2 linked regions of the Drosophila melanogaster genome follow. The protein of the gene in region 2 interacts with the protein of the main gene of each other region in a pairwise test. Each region holds a gene or a part of one and is shown on either strand. Other genes may lie near its edges.

Region 1 (3,959 bases), on a different chromosome or scaffold from region 2:
ACTATGTATGTATGTACATATATCCGACTTTCAGAACTGCGCCTTACTTTTCCTTTTTAGCGATCAGCTGCCACTTTTTAGGGGGCGGCACGTGCTTTCTTCACTTTCGTCGGCTTCTCGGGTTACCTGAATCCGCCGTTTACCCTTTCGGTCGCTCCTCACCTTTGGCCCCATTGACGGCCACGCCCCTAAAGTCATTATGGCGCACACTTAGGGATAGGCGGATATTGATTTCCCTGGGCTGACTGGCAGTACTCAGCGCTTTCCAGCCGATGATGATGACATCTGCGTGTGCCCATTGTGTTTCACTTTTCATCAAACTTATATTAATAAGTTGATGCGAGGGGCCATAATTAAAGCGAATTCGATATTTCCGGCCGGAGGAAAGACATTTGGTTCACTGAACCCAATAAAAATCCTTGAACTCCCGTCGCCAGACGAAATACAAAATATTTGTATACATATGTATTGCCAATAATCTATTTCAAACAAAGGCCAGCCACAAATATGAACGAAAAAACTAAGTTAGAGCAGCGTCTGCTGCCCTTTTGGCGGCACCCTCACAAAATTATTGACCAGAGTTCCATCCATCTCGAGTTTGAAAAAAAAAAACCAGAGAGCCACAGAGAGAAAAATTCAATGAAAGTCATTTAACCACATTTAGGTGGTAAGAAAATAATTATTTAAAATCTGCTACCGCTTTCCGATTCGATTGAGACGCGCTTCGTCACTAAGTTCGCTACTAGATTTATGTAACTAAGTTTGATTCACTTTATATTAGACACTTTGTAATATAAGCTAGATTTGTATTTAATATATCTTACTCTACTCTTGTTCACATTTCTTTGAGACGCCTTTCGTCACTACGCTATATATTTTTTCTATGATAGTGATTTTTCACCGTGCCGAAACAGAACGACTTTGAGTTGGACTTGTCCGTCTCCTCGGATGCGAGATTCTACCCAAATATTTCTGCTAGAAGGGAGAGGACTTCTGTGCGGTTTGACGACGGGGTTTTTGCTTCGGTTTCTGCCTCTGCTGATCGACACACACACAAATACATACATACATTCTAATCAACATGCGGCAAAACATATAATTCGAATTTTTGATATTTCGCCCGACCATTTTGCGAAGAAAATTGCATTTAAACGCCTATTATGCGCTTTTTATTTGCAACCCATACTTTTCTGCCCGAATGCTCCGGCTGACTCAGTCATGCACAAATACAAATCATTGTATAATCATTGTGTATAACACTAGGGTTCCATTTTGGAGGCTGGCGAGCTCTGTCAACTGGTCCACTAGGCTTCCTGCTTTTCGGGAGTTAATTAAATCCGAAATCGTAAAATCGTTAGCAAATGAAATAAATTGCGCTCAATTACACCGAGTGACATCCAAGGCGCAATCGCTGGTGATTGACCTCTTTCAATGCGACGACATTCTTGGCTCGATTCGGCTGGGGAAAAAAACCAAGAAAAAACAAAATAAAAAACATAAGCAACACAAGTCTTCGGTCAGATAATGAACTTAATATACACTTGCATATATAGTATACCCGTTCAGCCCCGATACCCGGATTCTCGGCAATCGGCAATCGGCTATGCGCCATGCACTTAATCAAAAAGTACGACAAAATCAAGAGTAAACAAAAGTGCAGCGCAGAACTCGACTTGAGAACCGGCAGCGATTCGAACTTCAGCCGGGTGCAATGAACACATGATCCGACAAAACAAAAATTTAAATCTCATTTACCTCGTTTATATGTTACAGTGCACTGGAAAAATAGTGGCAACTTGATGCGTTCCTACCAAGTTGGATGATAACTACATAGGTAGGATCGAAATATAAAGGTTAATTCACATGAAGATTGAGCATTTCCCTACTTACAATACAATCATTATAAGCTTTAGCCAATGCTTTAAACAAAATATTTTATATAGTATCCTTTGCCTCTTCAGTCCGACTTGTCAAACCGATATACCTGTGCGTAACCAGATTTTGTATCATTATTATTTGTCCTTTCGGCCTGAACACATCAAAATTTGTCGTCTAGTCTCAAATTATTTCTTTTTGTTCGGTTCAAAGTGAGTGAAAATAAGTGAAAATTTACAAAAATGAAAATGTGTAAAAAATTCCTATGGCATATCATTTAAACGTACCTTTTCTCCCTTCAGAACTTTTACGAATTAATCATGTGCTGCGGACCCTGTGGACCCTGCTGCGGACCTTGCTGCGGACCCTGCTGTGGTCCATGCGGACCATGCGGAGGAGGATGTGGACCCTGCTATGGACCGAATGTCTGCGGACCATGCTATGCCTGTGGACCCTGTGGCGGCTGCTATTGTGGATACCCTTGCTGCTAGACAGTTGCAACTGGCCATGTCCAAGAAGGGTTCACCAGAACACCAAGACGATAGGATAGAACCTATCCCTATTTCATCCTCGTATTCATCTAATATTCGTGAACCACAAATATAGGTATTTGAGACAATAAATATGAGGTGTAAGCTTCAAGAAGGTTTGGTTTTTGATTAGTGATAATAGTCAAATGCAATTTGCTTAGCCAAATATCTGATTTTAGAACACAGATACAGATGTTTAGACGCAAATGCGACCTGAATTAGAATCGATCCGCAGTCTTCTAATGCGATGTGGTCGACCTTGACGTTTCGCCGAGAGTTTATTGTCCTTTCAATAGAACACGCTAAATAAAACTTATTTAAGCAGGTACATACATATTTAACCCGCACACAGTCATGCATGTTCTTGTGTTTTTGTTTTTATTTTTATTTTTATTTTACTTTTGTGTATATTTACTGCACTAATTCTGCGACGAACTAGTTTCGGCACAGCGGATTCCGATTCCTGAATTCCGAGCGGTATTAAACGACGGCGAAGCGCAAAAAGTCAACAAAGTGCATATAAAAAATATATTTAAATTTACCCGAATGCCGCCGTCTCCAGTCGCCGATCCGATCCCCCTGGAGATGACCGCCCCCCCCCCCCCACCCCTTTTTGGCCATATTTCTGGCCAACTCCAGCCAATCCGAAACCATCATCAGCTGACTGGATCTACGCGCGCGCCTTTTTAATTGCATCGTTTTTATTTGTGCGACTTTATGCAAATCAAACAAGTTCGCTGCCAAAATATTGCTGTTCGCGTTGATTTGCTGCTGCTGCCTGTGTTTGCCTTAAATTATTTATTTGTGTGTTGTGTGGGACGATACTCTTGTAGACAGTCGGTGTAAGTAGTTTGGCTGGTCAAAGCGCTTTGTTGTGGCGGCGCAAACCAAAATACGTCGAAAAAACACGCCGAAACTAAATATAAACACCAGCTTAAACCAAACATGTTTCATATGTCTTTTTGGGCGGGGGAATTTTTCTATGTATTGCTAGCTAGCTGCTTTTATTATTGATTAGCCAAATTGCCGATAATTAGTTTGACTTTGAACTTGATTTAGAGCTTGTTTGAAGCCGCGCCAGCAAATGTGTCAATACACACGGTTTTCCGATCGGTCCAAAGAACGAATTAGTATGGGAACTTAACTCATATCAATCAAACAAGATTTAGGTTCGTTAGCTTCTGTCATTGTGGGCTAAAATATTCGCATTAAATTAAGGCAGAAGTCAATTTGTGTCAGCCCTTTAAGTTTTAACGAAAGATTTGAAATTACGCAACTTACTCCGTAGACATCTAATTTTAAATATTTCTAAATACAACAATGTGTGCATTTTATGTACTTTTAGATTCCTCCTTGTCAAGTTTGCATGTATTATTTATACATATTTATTTATATTATTATTATTATAGCTCACACAATCACCCCAATCCAATCTCCTGCTCTTGTTATCCAATTTCCAGGCTCTTTTTTTCACTGGATAACTGGCACTGAGTTTCCCCATTCATGCCCTATTTGCAACCCAGTGAGTAAGTGGATTGGTTCAGCTTAGAGCGT
Region 2 (5,497 bases):
GTTGCTGACCCAAAAGAAAAAAAAAAAAGAAAAAAACCAAAAATAATAATAATATTATACGTACAAAGGAGCAAGAATGTAATACATAAAAAACACCGAACGCAGCGACGAAAAAAATGCAGTTTTTAAGTGCACTGCTTATATTTCTTGAACCTTAAACATATTTTCCCTAGAGCATGTCCATATAACTAAAGGAAATAGTTTGTTTCATGGTTATGCAGTAAATGGGTTCATTACTTTTCATTTTAAGATGCACCTTTCTCTTCTAAGAATACAATGAACTTGAGCACTTTTATAGTTATTATTTTTAGTATTTTCCTACGCCTTTGTTGGTTTGTGGGGGAAAAATACCTGCAGATATTAGCAAAAAAGAAAAAAGAGAAAATCATTTTCAGGGTAAAAACACGTGAAACATTGCATACGAACGCTGGAAAGACAAAGCGTTTTTGTGAAATATTTAACTACTTGCCACACTGGCATGCCTTTACATATAACGCATTTGTTCACACTAATTATATGAAATGTAAGGGCAGACTCGCGTCTCGTTTTTTTTTTTTTGCAGTAAGTATTTTTTTATGTGGGATTTAAGTAAAGTTAAAGTTCTTTCGAATCGTTCGCAGCATATTTTCGTAAGCCATACATTTATGAAGACATTTGCGCAATTCACATTTACGGAAATGCGAGATATACATCAGCGTATAGTAACAATTTGAAGGAAAAGCTACAACAAGCCATGAATAACCATCAAGGACTATTTTTCCCTGGCTGATTTAGTGACTTGGGGAGATTTCCGCGAGATTTTCCGGGCCCACTTGGGAACCGCCAACGTAAAATATCAAGGATGCTTATCGACAAATAAATTCTTTGCCCTGTCAAATGCCCTGCACCATCACCAGCACCATGGTCCACAGGCCACAGTTCACAGTCAATGTGGGTGGCACAGGCTCGGCGGTGGTATGTGGCAGGATATAATAAATAGCCTGACATAGTAATGCCACACAGACACTAACTCACAAATGTCGCACTGTTATTGCTGTTGTTGTTGGCCCTTCCAGTCCTCGACCGAAAAGTTGACGCCTATAAAACGGATATGGATGTGCACCAAACTGTGGCATACTTTTCTGACCCCCACCCGACCGAGTGGCACTACCACCATCCACTACCACTTCCACTCGCAGTCGATGTCGCTCCAAAAGTGTTGACAAATTTATGAGCTTGTTTTGCTTTTTCGCAATTTTTGTTCGGCTGATTGAAAGTTTTCTTTATTTTGCCTCCGGGCAAATTGATGACAATTGGAGAGCGGGCCAGACAGCTTAATCGTTCGTGTTCTATATTTAGCTATATATTAATAAAGGCTTTGATTGATTTCGAAAGTAAATCAAAGGGCCGACACAGCTGCATAGTTCAAATTGATCAAAGTAACCCTGTGCTGGCAATATTCGGTCACACTGTTTTGCACGCAACTAATGTTCAACTCAAATATGAATGCTCACTCTTATTTATTGTATAATCGGTGAAATATTTACTTTATTGCTTTGGCATAGTTTACAATTAATTCACACTTGCTTTGCTTCTATGTTCTTTGAAATAGTGAAAAAAAAAAAAATTCTTTAAAGCCAATTTGCTTTGCTTGTGCGCATGGCCACATTGGCAGCAGCAACATCAGTTGCGCCTGGCGTCACAGTTGTTGACGGTACTGGCCAGTCGGCAGGCCTTCAGCTCGCGATCGAACCAGTAGCCGTTGGGGCAGTTCTGGCGCTTCGACCTCTGACGGTTGCACACGTAGTAGCGGCGACAGTGACGCACGTCGGCGAGGAAGGTTCCGTCCTCCTGGCCACGGCAATCGTGGCGCGAGATCAGCACCTGGGCAATAGCAACTGGATTGTCTATATCGGGCTGTTCTTCATTTCCGTCGACAATTGGCCCAGCGTTGTCGCTCTTGGGTGTTGTGCAAACGGTTGTGGTGCAGGGCTTGGTGGTGGTGCACGGTGGGGTGCAGGGAGGAGTGGTGGTGCATGGAGGTGTCCTGGTGCAGGGGGGTGGTGTCCTGGTGCATGGAGGAGGTGTCCTGGTGCATGGAGGTGGTGTCCTGGTGCATGGAGGTGGTGTCCTGGTGCATGGAGGTGGTGTCCTGGTGCACGGTGGTGGTGGTGGTGGTGGTGGAGGTGGTGGTGGTGGTGGGCACGTTGTAGTAATGCACGGAGGTGGTGGTGGTGGGCATGTTGTTGTGGTGCACGGTGGTGGTTCTGGTGGTGGGCATGTTGTTGTGGTGCACGGTGGTGGTTCTGGTGGTGGACATGTTGTTGTGGTGCACGGCGGTGGTGGTGGGCATGTTGTTGTTGTGCACGGATCCGGGGGAGGAGTACACGGTGGGGTATCGGCTCTAGGCGGATGTGCCAAAGCCTCATGACCGCCGGCGATAGTCGCCAAAACTAATCCAATCAGCAGCAAGTGGTCTAGGATAAAGCACAAAAAAAAAAAAAATAAAAATAAGAAGAAACTCCTTGTTTTTTTTTTTTTTTATGGAGGATCTTGGATCGGAGCTACCCACAAACTCTCATGTTGCGTTCGATAATGCCTCTGCAGTTTCAACTTCTCTGCTGGTTAGCGAATGATGTTAGCTGCACTCGGGGCTCTTTTTATATCGCCCAGTTGCAGATTTTATCTGGCTGTGGAACAGGGAAAGCACTTGAGATCTGTTGAGTGGTACATGGTCCATGATCCCCGAGGTTCTCGGCACTCTGCTAATTAACCAAAATTGGTCTGGTTGTAGGTTTTGGGGTATCGTGTTTTGTTCATGTAAGCAAAATGTTTTGTTTTTTACTTCGCAGTTGTTTTATTTTTTGCTGTAATATAATACTTATTCTTTGAGGGGAAAACAATCATGCTTAATGTTCGTTTTCAAATATATATTGTTACATATGTCATTTTTTAGACTTAATACTGTGTTTTTTTGAAAGAGTTTTCCCACAGTGATCTCCATTCGAACATACACTGATGGCATTGACATTTGGCCCGGTTCATTTGGCCATTCCGTACGCAATCTGTAAAATAGTTGAAATTGCCTGTTAACTGATTTCGCAGGCCCGGCCCCCCATTTGCTTTCTGTTCCTTTTTTTTTTTTTGGCAATTGCTTCTTGACTCCGGGCCAGTGCAAACAAGAGATTTCGGTTTATGGCCCCGGACCGGAAGTGTTAGGCCAAGTGGCCATGTGGCCAAGAGGCCATGTGGCCAAGAGCGGATGAGTGGACAAGTGTTGGCCATTTGGCAGTCGATAAAAATGGCAAAGAGCCTAAGGGGGCATCTGTGTGTGGGTATGCGTAATAATTTCGGCATGAAAACCTCCGCATTGCCACTTCCGCCCCTCGGAAAGTCCACCTTGCCTGCAGCGCGGTTGTGAAAACAAAAAACAAAAAGGACCACCATATCCCCGTGTGTCCCGCATATCCTGGACAGCTGGTGGTGTAGGGGGGGCGTTGAAAAGCGCTGGACAGTTGGCAAAAGTTTTGTAATTAAATATGGTTGTTGCAGTTAAGATTTATGAGCGATTTTTATACCAATCACCCAGTGATAGAGAAGTTTACTGGGCCAAGCGAACAGCGATTCATTTTAAAACAAATTCAAATGTAGCACCTATTTTTGTTTAGTATATCTATACATATTTTAATTATTTATTTTAAAAATCTGCTATTGAGCTTTCTCTTATTTATTCACAATTGAATCAAAGCATAGCAATATGACATGGTTTCAAATCTGTCCACATTCAGCTCCATCACGTGATATCCTTGATTTCACCACCCAATCGTGCCCTTTGAACCCTTGCACTGCGATCGTAAATAATTATTTATTTAAACAGTAGAATATTTCCAAACGGCATAAGCAAACAGAATCAATTGTTGTCGCATGGCGAATATTTATGCACGCATTTATATTCCGACATCTGTTTTCGGATTTCGGAGGTGCCCTTTTCAGACTCCTTTTTTTGTTTTACAATTTTTGAGTTGGGTATTGTTGAAGCTGCGAAATGATGTGCATTGGATTTTAATTTATATTCAAAGTGTGGGGAGTGCTTTACAGCCCGCATAAGCCCCGAAAACTTTCAATCGTTATGGTTCAATTGGATTGAGTTAAATTCACTTTGTTTCATTCACTTAGCACTCGTAAAGCTACACCCTCGCCAACAAACACGACTTGGCCATTTGCCGGGCAAAAATTACTCATACGCAGCGTGTGATGTGAATATTAAAAAGCAGCCAAGTTTATGATAAATCCGCCTTTCTTCATCTGCCAGTGTGCTAAAGTGTTTATGTACGCTTTTATATATTTATATAAAGATATATATACATACATACATATATATCTAAATATATGAAGTATATGCGAATAGTTGGCGAAACAATCTCAGATTATGAATGAACTTTGGCCAGTTTGGTTTAGGCGGAGATATGCACAAAATAGTTGAGTTTCTTCTAGATTATGAATGAATCACTTTGCGGCTAAAAAGTTCGCTGTGATTTAGGCGATAGTCGAGCAAACTTTCCAGACGAGAAAGTGGCCCGAAACTTTAAGGAGTTTAATCATTACCAGGGTCTTAAGATTATTTCACTCTTTTGTTCGCCCATAAACTTCAGATTGGTTTTGAAGCATCTATAATAATTATACGTTCACTTAAAAGCTGCTGGAGCAGAAGTAAAAGTTTCCCAGCTTTCTTTCCCATTAAAAACTCTGGGGACAAGCGGCGAGTTCTCGATAAGTTAAGTAAAATGTACAAAATAAAGCGAATGGCATTGGCTCAAAAAGTTTCACCATTGTATCGTTTTTTATAATCCATTAGTCCCCGAAAAGAGTGCATTTTCTGCCTCTACTACTGCATATCTTATCGAGTTACGTTGCAAATTGAATTAAAAATATATATTTTAAGCATTCATGCATTTTTCCGGCAGCTCACACACACACGACAACCGAATTATTTACCCTGCTGCTAAAAGTGGCAGCCTCACCTCGGCCTTTTGTCAGGTTTTCGAGTGGAGACTTTTCAACTTATCTCTGACCATCTCAATGAATTAGTCGAGCAACATAAATTAAGCACTTAGCTGTTGTAAAGTTTTTCCTTAAGCGGAGGCAGCTTCCTTCGTAAAAGATGACCTCGCCCAACAGAAGACAAACAGAGACACGGCTCAATGGAAATGCCCTTCTTTCTTCTCACACACACTTGCCCAACCACCAGACCGAGATGAAGAATGGGAAATTAAATTAAGCACACACTCACACACACACACATGACTGTTTGTCCAAGGAAGGATTGGATTTAAGGACTGTTTGTGCAAGGACATTGTATCAACAATTTCCAGGGCTCGAGACTCTGTGCTACGGGGCATTGTAAAACTCATTAGTGAAGTGACCGGAAATCTTATGAAATCTACAAGAAAAAGTAAGAACCAAAGTAACAACGAAACCGAAAATAAAATACAAGCTAAAAGTCTTACGATCACTATGG

What was found.
Region 1: the proteins of CG34324 (region 2) and Mst87F interact in a two-hybrid assay, tested with the Drosophila melanogaster proteins (one large-scale study listed by BioGRID).

The regions. Positions count from the first base shown.
Region 1 is NT_033777.3:13,825,707-13,829,665, reverse strand, and holds Mst87F (Male-specific RNA 87F), read left to right. Parts: upstream 1-1,657; 5' UTR 1,658-1,834; intron 1,835-1,979; exon of another isoform or gene 1,980-2,087; intron 2,088-2,177; 5' UTR 2,178-2,195; coding exon 2,196-2,366; 3' UTR 2,367-2,515; downstream 2,516-3,959.
Region 2 is NC_004354.4:13,455,051-13,460,547, forward strand, and holds CG34324 (uncharacterized protein), read right to left. Parts: upstream 2,614-5,497; 5' UTR 2,562-2,613; coding exon 2,552-2,561; intron 2,457-2,551; coding exon 1,663-2,456; 3' UTR 1,484-1,662; downstream 1-1,483.